Coturnix japonica: one gene and its partner. The protein of the gene in region 1 interacts with the protein of each later gene in a biochemical or structural test. Links are inferred from orthologs where the notes say so. Each region holds a gene or a part of one and is shown in the gene's direction. Other genes may lie near its edges.

Evidence for each region.
Region 2: the proteins of TLN1 (region 1) and ITGB3 form a complex in vitro, tested with the Homo sapiens proteins (6 studies listed by BioGRID and IntAct, with this or other methods). The link is inferred for Coturnix japonica from reciprocal best matches to the Homo sapiens genes TLN1 and ITGB3.

What each region holds. Positions count from the first base shown.
Region 1 is NC_029547.1:8,427,048-8,436,897, forward strand, and holds the start of TLN1 (talin-1), read left to right. Parts: upstream 1-386; 5' UTR 387-513; intron 514-3,720; exon of another isoform or gene 3,721-3,723; 5' UTR 3,724-3,757; coding exon 3,758-3,887; intron 3,888-6,658; coding exon 6,659-6,756; intron 6,757-6,874; coding exon 6,875-7,004; intron 7,005-7,090; coding exon 7,091-7,243; intron 7,244-7,390; coding exon 7,391-7,533; intron 7,534-7,690; coding exon 7,691-7,818; intron 7,819-8,078; coding exon 8,079-8,139; intron 8,140-8,402; coding exon 8,403-8,507; intron 8,508-9,084; coding exon 9,085-9,240; intron 9,241-9,417; coding exon 9,418-9,519; intron 9,520-9,699; coding exon 9,700-9,776; intron 9,777-9,850. UniProt on the Homo sapiens protein: High molecular weight cytoskeletal protein concentrated at regions of cell-matrix and cell-cell contacts. Involved in connections of major cytoskeletal structures to the plasma membrane.
Region 2 is NC_029542.1:1,801,510-1,811,945, forward strand, and holds the start of ITGB3 (integrin beta-3), read left to right. Parts: upstream 1-5,239; 5' UTR 5,240-5,394; coding exon 5,395-5,565; intron 5,566-8,684; coding exon of another isoform or gene 8,685-8,770; intron 8,771-10,436. Other genes in the region: RPRML (reprimo-like protein), read right to left, coding at 1,482-1,817. UniProt on the Homo sapiens protein: Integrin alpha-V/beta-3 (ITGAV:ITGB3) is a receptor for cytotactin, fibronectin, laminin, matrix metalloproteinase-2, osteopontin, osteomodulin, prothrombin, thrombospondin, vitronectin and von Willebrand factor.

The sequences.
Region 1 (9,850 bases):
CGGCCCAGTACAGCCCATTACAGCCCAGTACAGCACAGCACAGCCCAGTACAGCCCATTACAGCCCAGTACAGCCCATTACAGCCCACTACAGCCCAGCACAGCCCATTACAGCCCACTACAGCCCATTACAGCCCACTACAGCCCATTACAGACCACTACAGCCCAGTACAGCCCAGCTAGAGCCCAGTACGGCCCATTACAGCCCAGTACGGCCCATTACAGCCCGGTACAGCCCATTACGGCCCAGTACAGCCCAGTACGGCCCATTACAGCCCAGTACGGCCCATTACAGCCCAGTACAGCCCATTACAACCTAGTACGGCCCATTACAGCCCTTTACGGCCCAGTACGGCCCATTATAGCGCAGCCCGTGGGCCGTGCCGTTCCGCGCCGCTCCGCTCCGCTCCCCCCGACGCATGCGCTGCGTGTTGCGGCGGGCGGTGCTGGGGCGGTGCCGGCGCTGTGCCGCTCAGCCTCGGCGGGCCCCAGCGCGCTGCTCGGCCGCGCTCAGGTACGGAACCGGCACCGGCACCGGCACCGGGACGGGCGGCCACGCACCGACACCGCGGGGCTGCGGCTGGGCGGGGAGCGGGGGGGAGGGGAGAGCGGTCGGAGCGGCGGCATCGCGGCGGCACGAGGCGCGGGGTGGGGGCTGCTGCCAACGCGGGGAACGTTGGGGTGCGCGGGGGGAGCGCTGCGTGATAAGACCCCGCGTGCGGCGGAGCGCAGCGGGACCGGGCGCGCCCCACCCCGGCTTGGCCGCCGCCCCTGGGCGCTCCGTGCGGGAGGAGCGCGGCCGCATCCTGTTTCCCGCACCCACGGCGCGACCGCGGCCCCGCGTGGGGAGCGAGGCGGTCCGACCCTGCGGCTGAACCCCCCGCCCGGCCCCGGAGCTCCGCGCCCCCGCCCGGCCCCGGGGCTGCATCTCTTCCAGACCCATATTTGGAAGCGATGCTGCGGGACGGGGACACCCCGCGCGGGCCGGCGGGCGTGGGTGCCGCTGCGCTGCGGGGCTGTATTGCAAGGCGGGTCGGGGCGTGGGACGGTCGGAGCATCCCCCGTTCCCGCCGTCGCTTTAGGATGCGGGTGGGGAAGGTGCGGTGCGGCTCCGTGCTGCAGGGAGCCGTCCCGGAGCCGTTCACCGGGCACCAAGTCGCCGTCCCCGCTGTCAGCCCGATGCCGCACGGCGCCCATCCCCGGCGGGCACGAACCGGCCGCGGCCGCCGGAGAGGAGGAAGCGGCGTGAATCAGCCGAGCTGCGTGGGGCTGAGTCACCGAGCTGCCCGCCCGGGATCCGCGGTGCTGCGGGACCGGCGCTGTTGCCTCTGGGTTAAAACATTAACTTCTGCCATTCGGTGGAGGAGGGGAAAGGCGTCGGAGCGTGAGACCGAACCGCGCTGAGCTCTCTGAAATGATTAAAAGGAAAAGCAAAAAAAACCCAAAAAAAAACAACCAGCAACACACACACACACAAGAAAGCGCAGAACAAAGCAGTTACAGTCCTTAAAGTGCTGTGCTGTGCCGAGGTGCGGGGTGCTCCCCGCAGGAGCGGAAGGGCTGTGGGAACTTCCTTTGGTGCGGTCACACTGCCGACCCTTTCCCCGAGCTCAGGGCAGTGAATTCGGTTCCTTCGGGAAAGCTCTGCGGCCGCTGGATGTGTGCCACGGGCGTGCAGTGGGGCTGCCTTGCAGGCACAGCCCATGCGGTAGAACCTGGTCGGGCTCTGCTTTGTTTTCTTTCTTTTCTCTTTTTTTTTTTTTTTTTTTTGCTAACATAAAACTTTCTCTGTACCCGTGCTTGCAGCAGCGCTGCTGTGAAGCCGGGAGGTATAAATACAGCGGCGACGTCATGGGGTGGAAAATCGCTCTGTGCCTCGGGGATGGCGGCGGAGGCGTCGTGGGGAAGGGAAGAGAAATGCAGAAGTGCCCGCAGCCGCTGCTGCTGTGCTGGCTTATCTGCCTCGCCTACCAGCGAGCGCTGCTGACTTGTTTGCTCTCCCTGGAGGGCGGCCAGTGCTGAAAATTGGTGTGCATTCATCACATCGTTTGGCTTTTCGTTGTTTTTTTTCACCTCCTAGTGGAGCAGCCTGGGGCTGGGAGTCCTCTTCTTGTACTTTGTCTGGTCTGTGCCCTCAGGGCACCATGACGGTGTGGCCCTTGTGCCGGTGCTGTCATCAGCACAGAGCCCCACATCTGCTTCCTGCCGTGCTGGTGCCTCCGCAGAGCCCACAGAAGGGCTCTCGCTGCCCTCTGATGCCCAAATGCACCCAACCCCTGCGGTGGACCCGTGTTCTGTCCCCATGCATACCCCCAGTGTGGAAATCTACCCAGCTCTTCCCCGTGCATCCCATCCCGTGTGAGGCAGCAGTCAGCCAGACCTTCCCCACCGCCACGTTGTTACAGGGCTGCTCTAAATAGACTACTTCTGCTTTACACACTGGTGGAGGGTAGTGCTCAAAGCACTTCCTTAGAACGTGGAAAGAGCAACGAGCCTCTGGTTTTTACGTGTCTTAAGTGCCTTGCACAGCGCTATTTGGGGGCACAGCACCATTTGGGGTGCAGGATGGTGGCCACGTGTGGCTGCTGCCGGCCCCGCAGAGCTGGAGCTGCCCGTGTCGCTCTGCAGTTTCCCCTCCAGCACATCCTGCAGCTCTGGGCCGATTTTGCAGCAATTCACGAGTGAGGCCGAGCCGCTCTGCTGGCCGGGTGCGGCATCCCGTTTTCTTTGCAGTGCTGTCCTGCTTTGGGACAGTTTCAATCACTTTGCTTGCCTCTGCTCTCCTCTTCCTCCCCGCTCCCTGACCCTGCCCTGCAGGCAGAAGCGGGGGGAGGGATGGAAAGGGCTCAGCGCTCCGTTCCGGGGTATTTTTAGATTTAGGAAAGAGAACGATCCCAGTCCCGCCGGCCGCAGCCGCCCCGCCCGTCGGTCCCCTCGGATCCCCGACGGCCTCTTACGGCTCCTGGCCGTGAAGCTGCGGGGCGGCTGCGTGCGGGGCCGTCCCGCTCGCGTTGCATTCCTCGTCGGCGGGGGCCGAGGGCCTCCGACGGGGCTCCTGCGCTGCATTGCCGAACGGCTCAGGAATGCGCAGCTGGAGCGGCTCCACGCGCTGGTGGAGGCGGCACCGCGCTCCTCCCGAGCAGAGCCCTGTGGCCGCCGGGATCTTGTGGGGAGGAAGCTCCAGAGCCCCCTGGAGCAGACTGCAGCAAGCTCGGTGATACCCCAGCCCCTGTCTCCTCGAGCAGCACAGTGTGCGCTTCCTGGGGTCCCCACAGGGCTCCCTGCAGGATCCCGATAGTGGGGTCAGACCCTGCACCACGTGAGGTTTTCTTCTTGTGGTTTCTTTGCCACAGTTTTAATTAAAGCCCCTTCCGTCGCACAGTGCTGCCTTATCTCAGCACACTACTTGACATGCATTTCCTCTGTGCTGTGGGTCGCGGCTTTGCACGAGCACAACACACTCAGGGACGCTGGGTGCACGATGTGGACACAGCAACCCCAGGGCTCTGCATTAGGAGGCCAGGCTGGGAATTCCATCTGAATTCCTTCTGTCTGTACCCCTATTCTCCACCACCATCACTTGCTCCTGGGTTGGGATCTGAGCTCTGAGCTCTGCTCCCCCACCACCTCCAGGCACCTGCAGAGGGGTGAGCATCAGCACAGCCCACCCAGCATCATGTCCCAGTGCCTGGCGGTGGGATCTGACATGTCGTGTCCTCAGCAGGTGACACAGGAGTGGGGATAATCCGGCCGCCACCATGGTTGCCCTCTCGCTGAAGATCAGCATTGGCAATGTGGTGAAGACGATGCAGTTTGAGCCCTCCACCATGGTGTACGACGCCTGCCGCATGATCCGGGAGCGCGTGCCCGAGGCACAGATGGGACAGCGTAAGTGTGGGGCTCATCCCCTGCCCTCTGCAAGCGTGTTTCTGCTTCCACAGCTGCACCCTTTTTTTCCTCTTCTGGCAGCCCTGGAGTTGCCCTAATTTCTTCTCCCTTGCCTGGGGTGGGCAGCCCTTAAGCACCCATAATTTCAGCACACTCCTGCAGCTTTATTTCAGGCTGAGCTCTATGGCTTGCTGCTGCACTGCTGTTTGCATCTCTAAAATATATATCTAATAGCTCTTCACAGCTTCCTTTCCTGCTCTGTGCCCCCAAGGTTTGGGTTTCTGCACCCACAGGGTGTTTGCCGGGTGCTACATGATGGATGGGAGAGCTCGGTTCAAGGCATCTTGCATACTTTGGGTGAAGAAGTTTGATTGTGAGCTTGGGAAGCTTTATGAGTGTTTGCTGGAGCACTGAGCTGGAGTTCAGTGGTGTTATCTTGCTGCAAGATGTCTGAGCTCTGTGTATCATTTTGGAGGTCTGTACACAGACAGAATTGTAGGGGTTGGAAGGGACCTCTGGGTATCATCTGGTTGAACCCCCTGCTAATCAGGTTTTCTGTGGTAGTCCTTCCGTCGCACAGAGGGATGCAGGTCCCTCTCTGTAGCAACTGGAGGGGTTGCTCTGATAGAGCTGTTTCTAGTAACCTTGGTTCTAGCAAGGTGTTCAGGCTCCCAGACATGAAGGAATTGCTCAGCTATACAGAGTGTCACAAAAGAGCTCCAGGAGGAGCAGATTTCACCTGAGCACAGAGGCTGTCACCTTGTAAGGTCACTTGCTCAAAAATAAGTGATACATGAGAACTGGCAACAGTTTCTTCAGCTCAACAAGTGCCGCCCTTGATCTGCTCTAGGCTTCCCATCAACATGCAGTGAATCTTAGAAATATTCCTCCCAGAAACTTGGGAAGAATTTTGGGGACTTGGAGAGGGGGCAGGAAAAATGCACTGGAAGTGAAATATGTGTCCATCTCTATGAGCCCTTTCCCTGCCTCCTGTGTTCCCTCTCCTATGTGCCTGCACAAAGCTGGCCAGGGCTCGGTGGGCTCCAACAACTGCGGTGCTCCCAGCGGGTATTCCTGCACCATATAAGTTAACTTTTCCTTTCTTGGGGAACATATACCCTCCCCGGCAGCTCTCAGTGGTGCCGTGACGTGCTGCCGTTGTGCTGAGCTTTGTCAGCTGTAATATCTCCCCGCTGCCGTCAGACTCAAAATTAAGCGGGTGACAAAGCACCTCGGGATGCTGAGCCATGTCCCAGTGGTTCCCAAGCACAGGCACCCCCAGCTCCGGGAGGAGGGGGGGGTGAAGGCAGTGACATCTGGGAGCAGCAGATTCCTGGCGCAGCAGAGGAAATGCCTTCTCGCTCTGCACAACCATGGCTTTCGGTTTCAGAGGGGGACGGGGTGTTTACTCGGATCCGCAGCCATTGCATTTCCTGCCCCTGGGTCTGTGCCAGGCTGCTCATAAAGCGAGAGGAGAGAGCCTTAAAGGGAGCTGCTCAGCCCCAGCTCTGACCATTGCCCTCTGCTCTGCCGGCAGCAGCTGGAACTCAGCCCTGCTGCAAAGGAGTCCGTGGCTTCCTATGTTGAGGTTGCAATGCTGGGAATCCCCAAGGCAGTTCTTCCATTTATCTGCTTTTACCTCATCCCTGCCTCAGAGCTCACCATTTTCTTTTGTTTCTCTTTATTGCCCTTACCCAGTGACATTTGTAGGTCCCTTTTGGAGCTGCCCTGCTCCTCTTCCAGGATGCTGTTACAGTTCCATCTGAGCACACCCTGCCTGTGTTTCCCAGCAAACCCCCCTGAGCCTGCTTTCCTGCCCCACAGGGGAGTCCTGAGCTGTTGGGACAGGTGTTGCCCAGTTCCCTGCATTTTGCCTGGGTTTTGTGGCTGAATGCCACCTCCGTGCACATTGTGCTGAGCTCCTGCTCCGCTCTTGCCCTACCCCAGGAAGTGCCTCTCTCCTCCTGTGTAGGGATCTGAGTGAGCTGCATGGTTCTCAGTGCTTTAGAATGAGCCTTTTAGAATTGGCTTTGGAAATAGCTTGCTTTTCCAAAAGCCAACAAAGGGCAGCCTCACTGGTTCCCTGCTCTGTTCAGCAGGATCCCCTGCACAGCATGAGCTGGGCAGGCATGGGGCAGCTCAGGAATTTCCCCCTCCCTGCCTGCTTACACAACCAGAGGCTGCTGGCAGGGAGCAGGAGGGCTTTTCCCAGGGCAGCACTTCTCGTAGCAGCAGTGCCAGGGCTGTCCCTGGGCAGCAGCAGACCCACCCTAGTGGGCAGGATTGCAGAACATCAGAGTTCTCCACAAATTTACCTTCTAAACCTCCATCAAATCCTTCTTCAGTCCCTCACAGCAAGCAGCTGCCCTTCCTGGTCCATCACTTCTGCTGTTCTCTTGTTGTGTTTGCAAACTCTGCCTTGTTCCCTGCACCCTTCCTGGCCATGCTCAGCACTTTATCATCATCTTTTGGTTGTTATATTTTGCATCAAGCATTTTAGAGAGCTGTCAGCCACCACTCTGAGCTCATCTGTCAGCTGTGACTGCCACTTCCCAGTTAGCACTGTGTGGGCATGCTTTAGATGAGTTCTCATGCAGACAAACAGATGTAAAACACCCACTCTGCAGTTTGTTTGCCAGCTTTTTGCCCACTCAGGCTTTCCCTGGTCTCGTGGCCACTGCAATCAATTCCAGCAGCGTTCAGGGGTGCTGCTGTCCTGTGCACATCCCAGTGGCCCGATCCAAACCAGACAGAATCTCTGTGTTTTCCAGCCAATGATTTTGGGCTGTTCCTCTCTGATGAAGACCCAAAGAAGGGGATCTGGCTGGAGGCTGGGAAGGCACTGGACTACTACATGCTTCGTAATGGGGTAAGCATCCAGCCAGCACTGTATGTGCCCCGTGGTCCCACTGGGGAGTTGGGAGCCAGGGGGATGTGGTGCGCTGTGGCCTGTATGGCTGCTGGAGTTATGCTGGTTGTACCTGCAGGATACTATGGAGTATAAGAAGAAGCAGCGGCCCTTGAAGATCCGCATGCTGGATGGAACTGTGAAAACGGTTATGGTCGACGACTCCAAAACCGTTACAGACATGCTGATGACAATATGTGCTCGAATTGGTGAGAGGAGGGGTGGCATCGTGGGGCAGAGAGGAACATGGGGTGTCAGGGGAGCAGCACTGGGTCAGTGTTGTGTGCTCTTGCAGGCATCACCAACTATGACGAGTACTCACTGGTTCGAGAAATCATGGAGGAGAAGAAGGAGGAGGTCACGGGCACCCTCAAAAAGGATAAGACCCTGCTGCGGGATGAGAAGAAGATGGAGAAACTCAAGCAGAAGTTGCACACCGATGACGAGTGTATGTGTGGGCAAGCTCTGGGGACAGAACCATCCCATGCTGGGGGTGGTGGGAGTGGCAGCAAGGCCACCTGTTTGTCTGTATGTCTCTGTCTGTCTGTCCCTGCCTGGCCGTCTATCCCTGCTCACACTTTGCCATCACCTGCAGTGAACTGGCTGGACCACGGCCGGACCCTGCGTGAGCAAGGCATCGATGATAACGAGACGCTACTGCTGAGAAGAAAGTTCTTCTACTCTGACCAGAACGTGGACTCACGAGATCCTGTACAGCTCAACCTGCTCTACGTGCAGGTACAGCACTGCTGCCCTGTGACAACCCATCTGGTGTTTGGTCAGGAGCAGCCACAGGGGCATTTCAGGTGTCTGGCTAGCTCCTCTATGCCGGCACAGATCCCACCAGATGTGGAAGGGAACAAGGCAGACCCCAGTGTTTTCTCTCCCCTTTTAGGCACGTGATGACATCCTTAACGGTTCTCACCCTGTCTCATTTGACAAAGCGTGTGAGTTTGCTGGCTACCAGTGCCAGATCCAGTTCGGGCCGCACAACGAGCAGAAGCACAAGCCGGGCTTTCTGGAGTGAGTGTCCCAGGGTGTCCCTCTGCACATGTGCCAAGTTCTGTCCTCCAGGGTATCATCATCCCAGAGGGTGGCTCCAAGGTTTTGGGTCCTGGAGTTGTCATTAGTTGTGGTGACCTCTCCCACATCCTTCCTGTTCCCAAAAACACTCTGCACCGGTGGGGTTTTGTCCAAGGCTCTGTGCTAAGCGTCTTCATAGGGGAACACAAATGCTGGCTTTGGGCTGTGCTTTGGGAGCTGATTTTGCTATCTCTTGGCAGGCTGAAAGACTTCCTGCCCAAGGAATACATCAAGCAGAAAGGGGAACGCAAGATCTTTATGGTAAGTGCGAGGCTGTGCTGAGATCAGGCTTGTCACAGTTCCTTTCCAGAGGTCTGGGCTGCTTTTGTTGCAGCACATCACAGCCTGGCAGGTGAGGAAGAGGACTGTCTGCCTGTAGTTGGGCAGATGTGACAGCGCTGAGGTTCCAGGGGCTCAGAGGGATAGTGTGGGTGGGAAATGGAATGCTGGTAGGGCAGGGGGAGAGCCTGGAGAAGCTGTGAAGGCAACACAGTAGCTGACCTGATGTCCTCTGGTGATTACAGGCCCACAAGAACTGCGGGAACATGAGTGAGATCGAGGCCAAAGTTCGCTACGTGAAGCTGGCCCGCTCCCTCAAGACCTATGGGGTCTCCTTCTTCCTAGTCAAGGTAGAGCAAAAGCTCTTCAGCCCCGCCTTTCCTGCTGCCTGGCCGAGTCTTCCTTTTCAGCATCTCTTCATCTTTTGCATCTCCACCCACCACTTACCTGTCAGTCCGCATTGCTCTAGCTCTCCCTGTATTCCTGCTATCTGCCTACCCTTCTTTAAATCATAGAATCTTTGAGGTTGGGGAAGATCATTAAGGTCATCTAATCCAGCCACCAACCCATCCCCACCATGCCCACTAACAACATCCTTCAGTGCCACATCTCCTTGGTTCTTGGACACCCCCAGTGGAGGTGACTTCACCACCTCCCTGGGTAGCCTGTGCCAGTGCCTTAGCACTGTTTCTGAGAAGCAGCTTTTCTTAATATCCAACCCGAACTTCCCCTGGTGCAACCTACTGCCAACTTAAGGACTTTGTGGCTTTTTATCTGCACTGCCCTCCCACTCAGTTCCTGCTTTTCCCCCATGACCTTTTCAAGACACATGTGGTGATTACCATATCTGGAGTTGTGGCCCTAGGGTTGCTTGCTGCACACACAGCTCTTGGGTGAGCCCCCTAACCCCTTTGTCATGTCCTGCAGGAGAAGATGAAGGGGAAGAACAAGCTGGTGCCACGTCTGCTGGGGATCACTAAGGAGTGTGTGATGCGTGTGGATGAGAAAACCAAGGAAGTGATCCAGGAGTGGAGCCTGACCAACATCAAGCGCTGGGCAGCCTCCCCCAAGAGCTTCACCTTGGTAGGAGCCTGCCCCAGCTCTCAGCCCTCTGTGCCCTGCTCCCTTCCTCTCCTGACCCCAAGAACAGGCAGAAAGTGGCTGGCACAGCACTGGCCACAGTGCTTAGCACATACCAGAGGGGCTCAGGATGTGCGCCAGCATCCTGCTCTGGTGCAACCCAGTGCTGTGCCCTTGTAGGATTTTGGAGATTACCAGGATGGCTACTACTCGGTACAGACAACAGAGGGGGAGCAGATCGCCCAGCTGATTGCTGGCTACATTGACATCATCCTGAAAAAGGCAAGTTCAGGGAAAAGCAGTTTGCTCTTCTTCTGGGAGAAGTACAAGGTGCTTCTTGTGCTCATGGTGCTGCTGGGGACAGATGGGGACTTCCCATGGATTTGGCAGTTCTCCAGCCTGGGCAGCAGCAGGGACTGTGAGGTGTGCACTGACCAATGCTTTTTCTCTTTGCCTCAACAGAAAAAGAGCAAAGACCACTTTGGCCTGGAGGGAGATGAGGAGTCCACCATGCTGGAAGACTCGGTGTCTCCAAAGAAGTAAGTCTGTCAGGAGCAAGGTGGCTGCCAAGTGGCATCCTTCAGCTTTCAGGGCAGCACTGTGGGGAGCAGCC
Region 2 (10,436 bases), on another chromosome or scaffold:
GAACCTTGAGGAGGGTGCTCAGCAAACACTAATTAATTAAAAACTCAGCCATAATCCTGCTCCTACAACTGGGAAAGGCAGAGAGTTGTCCTTCTGGATTCATATCCATGTCCATCAGATCAGCAGCTCCTGCTGGACCCAGGAGTGCTTTCCCACTACAGCTGCAGACCCAGCAAGGATACTGTTGGCACAACAAAACTCACATTATTTCCATCTCACACCCACAGACAGAGCTGTAATTCCATCACAGAACAAAGGTCGGGAGTCTTCCTCCTCTCATACAATTTAGTTCTGACAGCTCATCAGGATGAGAGGAGATGGAGATTTCAATCAGAGTCAGAAATGTTGCTTTGCAAGACGTGTTCAGCGCATCCTTACACATCCTTTGTGTTTTGATGCTGTGCAGGTATTTAACACCCGGAACACATCGTTCCTGATACATTTATTTGCTCAGGAAAAGGATTTTTTGCCTTTGGAAAACAAAAAAGCATGTTAGTTTCTGCTTGAAATAACAATCTTTAATTGGAGTTCAGCTGGAAGGTGGGATGGCTATATTTAACCTCTGGAACTGGGGTTGAAATACCTGAGCTGTGCACACAGAGGGAAAGAAAATGAAGACAACACCAAATTCTTTTGAAACAGTTTCTTTTTTTTCCCCCCCATTTTTCTCCCTGAATGTTCACCACTTTTCAAAAGCAGCTACAAAAAAAAACCTCAAAGACCGTAACAATGCAGCACTCAGGGAGGGGAAAAAAGGCCACTACGTACAAAACAAACATGCTTTTTGGGGAAAGATGGAATGGTTTTGGTGTTTATCGGGGTTTCTTATCTTCCTCCGGCACAGTGTGAAAGAGGAAATCTGCATTTTATTTGACAGGACGGTTCAGAATCGAGGAGGAACATGCTCTCCCTGTTACAAAACCACCTGGCGGTGCATGCGGGAGGTCCAGAACACAACAGATTGACACATTTCATAGCATGCAGACTTTGCTGTCCGACCCACACAGCCCTTCCCTTCCCCTACCCCACAGACAAAGATGTGGTCCATGCCACGCACTCCACTTCCCCCATAGTTTCTTCTCATTCTGTAGTGAGTTTGCTCTTTTTTTCTTTTACATTTTCTTCACTTTTGATTTTTTTTAGCCCTAAATCCCAAGAGGCGGTATCCAAGGTAACAGCAGACAAGAGTCCAGATCTGCACATTATCGCCGTTTCTGCAAGTTTCATGCAAAACTTAAGCCATTTCTGCATGCAACACGATGCTGGTCGTTGCACTTCACATAGCGCTGGGGACATCTCCCCATTCACCACGATGGAGTTTGCTCACTGTGAAGCACTGATTTGCTTTCCCGTGGACACAGACACATGAAAAGACATCACCCCCCCCCTTCCCTTTCCCATTCCCCCCAACTGCCCCGAACACATGGGCACGTGCATCTCAGCACCAGCTCCAGCCACTTGCCTACACTTGCTCCACGGCATCAGTAGAGCCCCATGATCGCGGCTCCCACGTCCTTGGAAGGTCTTCGGTCCTTCACCAAAAAGTTAATCATGCTCTCCGACTTGATGAGCAAATTGCAGCCCAAAAAGAAGATGCCAAACACCACAGTCAAGGAGAGGACGCAGAGGACGGCGATCTGCACCACGCGTGTGATGTACAGGCTACGCTCATCGGGCACCAGCACCGAGGAGCTGCCATCGGGTGCCAGCACCGAGCTGGTCCCATTGCAGCAGGCCAGGAGCAACCCCAAACCCCGGGTCCTGTTGGGGTATGCTCCTTGCTCCAGGAGGCTCTGGTTGAAGAAGGATCCATTCATGGTCTACGTGGGGTCCCAACCGTCGGAGGAAGGCAGGATGGAGCTGGCGGTCCCCCAGCTGGTCTCACATCCCGCAGGCTCCGTGCCACCTCCTGCCTGTCTGCTCCTGATGCCTGGGCTGGAAGGGAAGGAAAGGTGTGCAGAGAGGGGCGGCGGGCTGCCAGCTGCCACCAGCAACTCAGCACAGTCACCCGAGCACGGAGAGGGAAGGAGAAGGGAGCACGGGGCAGAGGAAGGCAGTAGGAGGCGGTTGCATGCTCCCTGCCATGCTGCCACCCCGAAGCAATGGGGACTCCCAGCAGGAGCCGGGGGCTGATGCCTGCCGGCTGGGAGCTCCACGGATGCAAGTTCCCAGCTCAAGTCTTCCCCGTGTTCAAAGAAAAACCAGCAACTCCACCCCCTTGCAGCCTCCCCCCAGGACCGCCTTCCTCCCCCCTCCAAGCTCACCCAGGCTGCCCACCCCTTCCCCATGCTGCTGCATCCCCTCATCCTGCTATGGGGGCCCAAACCCACACCTGTGCTACCCCCTGGCTGTGTGCTAACCCCTGAGGTCCTGCCATACTGCATCCTCTCCCCCAGCCCTCCACCTGCTTCCCAGAGCAGCCCACCATGTCGGTGTTGGGCCTGGGTCACCAGCAGCTCCCCTGTTCCCCCCCACACACCCTCCTGTGAGCTTCAGGTCTGTGCTGCTCTCACCGATCCCTGCTTGCTGCTCTGTGCCACCCACTCCTTCCTTAGAGCAGCGCTGGCCCAATCCAGCCCCGTCCACCCCCAGCTCTGCTCTGTTCTTCTGTCCTACACTGACAACTGGATCATCATCCTCTGGCTGGGGGATGTTTACACCCAGGCACCTCCATTTCCCCTTCTCATGCTCCTTTATCCCCATCAGAAGGAAGCACAGTGATGCTGCACCCCGATCTCTGCATCCCACCCCCATTCCCAGCTCAGGGTCCTACAGCAGCAGCAGCTGTGGTCCATGCACCGTGAGTGGGTGCAGATGTGTTCGGGTGGTGCAGGACAAGAGATGGCCATGACATGGAGACTGTGCTCTGATTGATCTGTGTACGTCTCAGCTCGCTTTGCTTGCACAGCCCCCAGAGGGGATTTTAATAAACCCAAATGAGAATTGATAAATTGCAGCTAAAGACGTGAGCAGGAGGCCAGTCGGATGGGGGTGGAGGGTGGCTTGGTAGGAACACATCAGTGATTTCTCTATTAAACAGATGAGAGCTGAGTCTCTATATTTTGCTTTTGTGGCTTTTAGGGGCCCAAAGCAGCTTGCTTTGACTTTTACTTGTTGCTTTTTCCTCCTGGTAGCATTGCTCCCCCACACTCCATAAGGTTATTTTGCAGCAGAAGGAATGAAGCTGGAAGCCTGGATGGGACAAGGGGACGGAACCCCCTGCATTTAACCCCAGGGCCAGGAAAGATCCCCCTGGGAGAGCAGAGCATCCCAGTGGCAGCTCCTTTCCCCGCTGCCTCCGGGCTGGAGGAGTTTCTGCTCCCTCTGCTGGCTCCAGTTCCAGCTCCAACCTGTTCTGTATGCCGGAACAGGGCACTGCAGCATCACACAGGGATCACAGCCATCCCCTGGGGACACAGGGACATGGGAACACTCAGCTCTTGGCTGCTCTTCACCTTAATTCAAAGAAGGGCTTCACAATGCAGAGCATCCCACGATTGATTCCCCCCAGCTCAGTTTTTGTCCAGCTCTCCAACTCCCAAAGAGCAGCAATGAGAGCCCATGCTCTACCCAGTGCCTCCCACCCTCGTGTGCCCCACATCCCCATCACAGCAGTTCTTACAGGACAAGCAGCAGCCAGGAAAGGGTTCAAGGACTCAAATACATATTTATTTATTTTTTTTATCCTTTTTCCTTCTTTTTAAAAGGCTTTGGAAGCATGAGCTGGAGTATCCCACTCTGCTTGCACACAGGGCTGTGTCCATTTGCTAGGCCAGGCACCCAGGACAGGACCCCAAGAACCATGGGGATGTGGCACTGAGGGACACAGTCAATGGGCACAGTGGGGGTGGGTTGGGTTTGGGGATCTGAGAGGTCCTTCCCAACCTTTACAATTCTATGACCCTAAGAGGACCTGTGGGACTGACAGCTCGGCCCATTGAAGCACAGATGCAGGTTGGGCAAAGAATGGCTTGAGAGCAGCCCCAAGGAGAAGGATCTGGGGGGTGTTGGTTAATGAAAGACTCAGTATGAGCTGACAATGTGTGCTTACAGCCCAGAAGACCAACTGTGGATCGCAGTGTGACCAGCAGGGTGAGGGTGGTGATTCTGCCCCCCTGCTCTGCCCTCATGAGACCATATCTGTAGTATTTCATCCAGTTCTGGACCTCATAACACAGTTATTCCACAAGATGGAGTTACTGAATAGGGTCCAGGGGAGGGCCACAAAGATGATCAGAGGGCTGGAGCACATCCTTCATGAGGACAGGCTGAGAGCTGGGGCTCTTCAGCCTGGAGAACAGAAAGCTCCAGGGAGACTTTATAGCCTTTCCACTACTTGAAGGGAGCCAACAGGAAAGCTGGGTTGGGACCTTTTAGAAGGGAAGCTAGCAACAGGACAAGGGGAAGTGGTTTTAAACTGGAAGAGGGAAGATTTAGGCTAGATATTAGGAGGAAATTCTCTGCTGTGACAGCTGTGAGACACTAGAACAGTGAGGTAGTGGATACCCCTCCCTGGAGGTGTTCGAGACCAGGCTGGATGGAGCTGTAAGCAACCCAGCTTCAATTGAAAAGCAGCACTTTATCAACACTACATGAGGACCGACGGGTTTCTCTGGGTCCCTCCTTAGCAAATCCACGTCAGCGAGGCAAAGGGAAGATCCCAGAAGGAGAATGTCCCCTTAGAGCAGAGTCCCGACGGCCGCCGGAGGGCAGCAGCTCTGCAGGGAGGGTGGGATGAGGGGGAAAAAGCGACAACGGGGCGAATTTTCAGGCCAAGAAAGTGCCGCTATTGGAGCCGGGAAAGCCTCGGTTCCCGTGTTGTCTCCATCTGAGGGTACGGACAGATGCAATGAGCCCCACGCAAGCAGCGGGGGAGGGCTCTGTAAGGATCTGTGCCTGCTGACTGTGGGAGAAAACCAGCACAGCCAGCAGAGAATCAGCTCCAAATCACGTATCCCAGTCTGAATTTCCCTCCCTCCGTGATGTCGGGTTTGTACCCATCCCTCTGCACAGCTCCGGGGCTGTTCCAGCAGGGATTCTCCCACCTGAAAGACTGCAGAGAACCCACACTTTCATTGCAATACGCATGTGCTCTGTTTCCCCTTAAATCCTCACGCTCTGAAGCAGCTCAGCCTCAGCAAGTTTAAAACCCACGCGGCCGAAAGGGTTAATGAAGGGAGGGAGTGAGCGAGGTTTTGCAAGCAATTAAACCCGGTAGAAGAGCCTGCTACAGCCGGTCCTGCACTTTGTGCCCAGGTTCATTAAGACCTTTTTAGAGTCGAGAGAAGGAATAAGCACAGGGATCTCCGGGGGCAGGACGGGAGGAGGCACTGCCCGACTGCAGTTCGAGTGACGAAGCAACGTAGCTTCCTCCGGCCGCCCAGCTCGGTGTGTATGTGTGTCACACACACCCAGCGCATGATTCATCCCTTGGACGGCTCTAAACCATCTCAAAATCACACGGCGGGGCCGTCCCACACCCCTATAGCCGGGGTTCGGAGGAGGAGATGGATGAACTCCGAGTCGTTTTCAGCATCTTGGTGCTCTGCGCTGCTGGCAGCTGGGGTAGGTGTGGGGCTGGAATGCTGGGTTTGCCCTGACATTGCATGCAGTGCTTGGGTTGCGTGCTGTCATCCCTAAACCCTGGGATTCTCTTCATTCCCACGCTGTCGGGAAAGTCGCTCAGAGGGGTGGCAGGCAGAAGGTGACCTCAGCACAGATCCCCATTGCTGAATTTACCCTATTTTCGGGGTTCCCCGCTCTCTTCTCACTTTGGGCAGTGTGAACTCAGCCCTTTCTCCCTGTGCAGTGCTTGGCTGTGGTGCTGGTTTGTAGTGGGAGCACTGGGGTGGGCTCTGTAAGCAGGCGGTAAGGGCAGAGCGCAGGGTCAGCAGTTGCTGTATCCACCTCATTTTAGGGGGTCAGCATTCATCAAATCCATTTTTCTCCTGTTCTTTTGGTGCTGGTCTTTCAAAGCCCTGATTTCTGGCACCGGAACAAACGCAGTTTGCGTTGTTCAGAACTTTACGTGCCTTGTGGAGGAGCAGCCCAGGGAAGGGAATGTCCTCCCCAGGTGCTTTCCTGAGCTCAAATCAGAAAGCAAATCCCGCAGCCACAAAAGGGTGTTGTTCAGCTCCCGGTCTGTAAATCAACCTCATTGTTTTGGAGACCCGACCCGAGGGGATTTGGGTCAATGTTATTTTGGTTAAAGAATGCTGGATTCGCTGGGTTCCCAGGAACAGCCCGAGGCTGCGATGTGCTGAGCCAGCTGTATGGATGCGCTCACCCCTAGGAGAGTCTGAGTTTGTAGGGTTGCACTTTTGGGGCTGTGCGTTTATCCGGTCCCATAACCATCCTGGGACATCTCCTCTGCAGGAAGATGCTGGTAAATGAGGAAATATTCCAAGAAATGACATAGCCCCGGATGGAGCTATGAGCAGGAGCAGCCAAAAAAAGCCCAGCTCCCTATTGCTTAGTCAAGCAGAAAACCCAGAGATGATGTCAAAACAACTTGTATCCATACCAAGTATTTCTAAAGCATCCTTATCAAGAACTCTGCATATTAGCAAGGGGAAAAGCTGGCTCACACAGCACACGGGGTGTAGGCTGAGGTCTGAGTAATTTCTCCCAGCCAGGGAAGGGGGATGCTCAGCCACAGACGTCGGTTGGGGCATTCCAAGTGCATCATTTGCAGTGCGCTGTCTGAACACTTCTTGGCCCTGACGGTGCTTCCTGTGCTGCTCATGTCAGCACCCCACGTTCCATGCATTGGGATTTCTTTTCTTATTTGAAGACCCGAGTCTTCAGGAGCAGCTCGTTATAGGAGGGCAGCTGTTTTCATAGTAATGAAAACAAATAAAGGCAGCTTTTGCGCTTTGGTTGGTTCGCTTTTATGACTGGAAAAGAAAAACCAAGACCTAAAAATTAGTGGGGAAAAGAAAATAAATCAGATACACAGAGTTTATTAGTTTAGGCTGTGCTGGAATCTTGTTAACCTGCTCATGGCCAGGCAGAACTCAGAGGGCTGTGAGCAGGGTGTGCTCAGCCTTCAGTATCCCCTGCTCTCCTCCAGACTTGGTTTTGCAACCACAGCATCTTTGCTCCTTGATGCATCCTGCTGTGTCCAGCCATGCAAACAAAGCTGTAGATGACAAAATAGGGGTATTTCCCAAGGTAGGAGGTGAGGCTGGGGACAATCCCCTTCATGTTCACATAGTGATAACAGCTCTGCATTAAGCACTGCTGGCACCTGGGGGATTTGGGCTCCTCCCAGTGGGTCAGAGCTGTGTTCAGCTGTGTTGAGCACACCAAGGATGGCTCAGTAAAGCCCCACATCCTCAGACACATGCCCTGGTCATGGGACGATGGGGCAAACCACCTGATTTATAGTCCTGGGTACCAAAATCAGGCAGAAAATGGGGTCCCCAGCACAGAGGGGGGGTCCTGGGCACCTTTGTTCCACCCCAACCAAGGGGACACAGTGCTGCTCTGGGATGTTAGTGAGGCACAGGGCTCCCCTGCATCTTGCAGTTCAGAAGCTGCTCCCAACTTTGGGCTCCCACAGAGGCTTTCTCACTGTGATAAGCTACAGCTGGGGATTTTGGTGTATGCTGAGAGCTCTGGGTGTGGGTACAACCCCAAAACTGAGCAAACACGAGATGCTGCAGGGCCATGTGTCTAAGCATGGTGTCATTCTCTGTGTCCCAGCATTGGCCCCATGCTCAGCTCCTTGTACCACCATGTTCATGCAGGAACATGCATCCACACTGCACAACACCCTTCATGCCAGAGGGCACAGACACACCAATAACTGTAGCTGTGGCTGTGCCCAAAGCCCAGACCTCACCGTTCTGCTGTTTCCTCTTTGTGTTTCACAATGTATTTCCTCCCATTTTTGCAGAAAACATTGCAGCTGCAAAGGGAGGGCCTTGAGTAGGGAATGAGGGAACATAGGGGGATCACAGCAACTTCACACTGGTACTGGGAGATCTCAGGGCTGCAGTGGGGGCACACAGCACCCATAGGGCCCAGCTGCCCCATGGATGCTGGGGACCACTGTACCTCAAGAGGGAGGAAGAGCTGAGGGTGATGATGTCGTGGCCATGTCCCCATCCCCTCATTGCATCAGCTGTTGGAACCAGAGAGCCATACAGTTCCCAGCTCTGCCCTTCCTGCCCCATGAGTGGACATGATATCTTCCAATTGAGGTGTGCGTCTCCTGACATCCTCACTGCCAATCCCACTGGTGGAACAACAGATTTACCCAGAGCGGTATCACAAGCAGCTGTCAGCTTCATTTTGGTCAGAAGCCACTTCTCTTTCTTTTCTTTCCCCCAGCTGGAGCAGGTGGGACAGTTTGTTACACCCAGAGCTCACCACAGCCCCAAAATACCCACAGAGAGGCACCAGGGATGATGTCTCCCAGGGCTGCAGGGTTAGGGACACAGTAAGGGGCTGGCAATGGGTTGGCAGGTGGGAGATGTCAGCAGGATGGAGCCCAGCTGGTGCTGGGCTGTGGGGGAGGTGGCTATTAAATGAACAGGGAGGGAAGCACTGGATTTGGAGCTGGGAAAGGGGTGAGGTTATGTATGTGGGATTGGGCTTTGCTTGCTGTCTGAGTTCATAGGGCTGTGTGGTGGTGGTGGTCAGCAGGTAATGACAGCTCTCTGTTTTGTTGTTCCAAGGGAGTAACATCTGCACTACCCGAGGGGTGACCTCCTGCAAGCAGTGCCTGGCTGTCAGCCCACTCTGTGCATGGTGCTCTGCAGAGGTGAGTGCTGGGCTGAACTTGAGATGGGCTTTGGGCTGTGGGATGGTGTGTTGCAGCTACATCCAATTCCGTCTGTTCCCACTGTGTCTAAATACACCCCTCAGTGGCATCTGGTAGTGGCTATAGCAGTGTGCACCATGGGGTTTGGTCTGGGTTCCTGCTTTGCTCTCAAAATCTACCCCTTGTCTGGGTAGGAGCTCTGGGAAGTGCTGCTTTCGTCCATTGACAACTCATTTTGTCTCATACTGTGTGCTTGGAAAGTTGGTTCCCTTTTTGTTGGCTTCTTGAAAGCTCCTTGTGAAGCTCTGACTAAAAGGAATCTGATTCATGGAAAGGCTGGAGAGGGGATTTAAGAGAAGGAAAAATAACACTGATTAGAACTTGTGTTTGGGTTTAAATGCCTTTTAACCATGGGAAAATGGGGGATGGGAAGATGAGGATCCTGTTTTAGGTTATGGAGTTAAAGGGGACGTGAGGGCTGAGCTATGGCTCTGAAATCCATTATCTGGGTGTGGGTGAGATGTGGGAAGATGTGCCACTATGCTCTCCAAAAATGCTGCCCTTAGGGTTGGTCTATCAGGGGTGTAAGAGAGGAAGTTCCCAACAATGATGCATCTGGTGAGCTGCAGATAAAGGGGACTTATGGCTGCAGGGCTCAGTGAGGCACTGCTGTAACAATGCACTCCTTGTGTGTTGCAAGAAAGCACAAAGAAAGGTCTTGTCTTTGTCTCCTGCTTCTGCAAATGTGGAATTCATCCACAAATGGGGATGGGGAGAAGACCAGGAGTATTGACCTGATCTGTGGGATGATCCCCAATTGCTGCCCACCTGTAGGTCCCAGCAGATCCCATTGTGTCTCCCAGCATCTTCCCATTGCAGGGTGCATAGAGATGCTCATGTGGATGAGCCCCATTTATCTCCTGCAAGGAGTGGCTCAATTTATGCCATGATAAGGACTCAATCCTCTGTCTGCTCCTCCCCAGCCTGGGCTACTGGTGTGTTAACACTGCAGTTGGGGCTGTTATGGTTTTAGCTTTTTGTTGTGCTCTTACCCCCCCGACATCAGCAAAGGTTTCCAAAAAAGGCAATATTTCAGGCACTGTTTGGGGTTGTGCTCGTGGACGGACGTAACAAGCAGTGGAAGAGCGTCCCACTGCAAGCAGCCGGGCTGTGCAAACTACTCACAGCTCTGCCTCCAACATCTGGAGAGCATTGTCTTAATTTAGCAAATTTAGGGCTTTTTGCTGAGGGTTTGTTTAATATCCCCGGGGTGGGTGAGGTCTCTGATCCCCCCTCCCTTTTTTTAAAGGCAGAGTGCCCCTTCTTGCACTCTTTCCTTTCCCACCCAGGGTTAACAGTTACTCCTGCTCTAGGCTTTGGGCAAGAGGGGAATTTTGTTGCTGTTTCTTGTGAGCTCAGTAGAGAACAGCTGACTTTATTTTTCTGGAGCCCTGACCACCCTTACCAGCTAATGGATGTGCCCACCCAATTACTTTCCCTTAGGGGAAAAGCCAGCTGAATCTTAAAGCTCTGAGATAGCTTTAGAGAGTATCATGGCAGATTTTCCAGGGTCTCACCTACCCTAAATATCAACTGCTCCATTCCCCTTAGAGAGAAGGGGGAGGCAGTGCTGGGCCAGGGCTTGGTTTGGAGAAGCTGTGGAAGC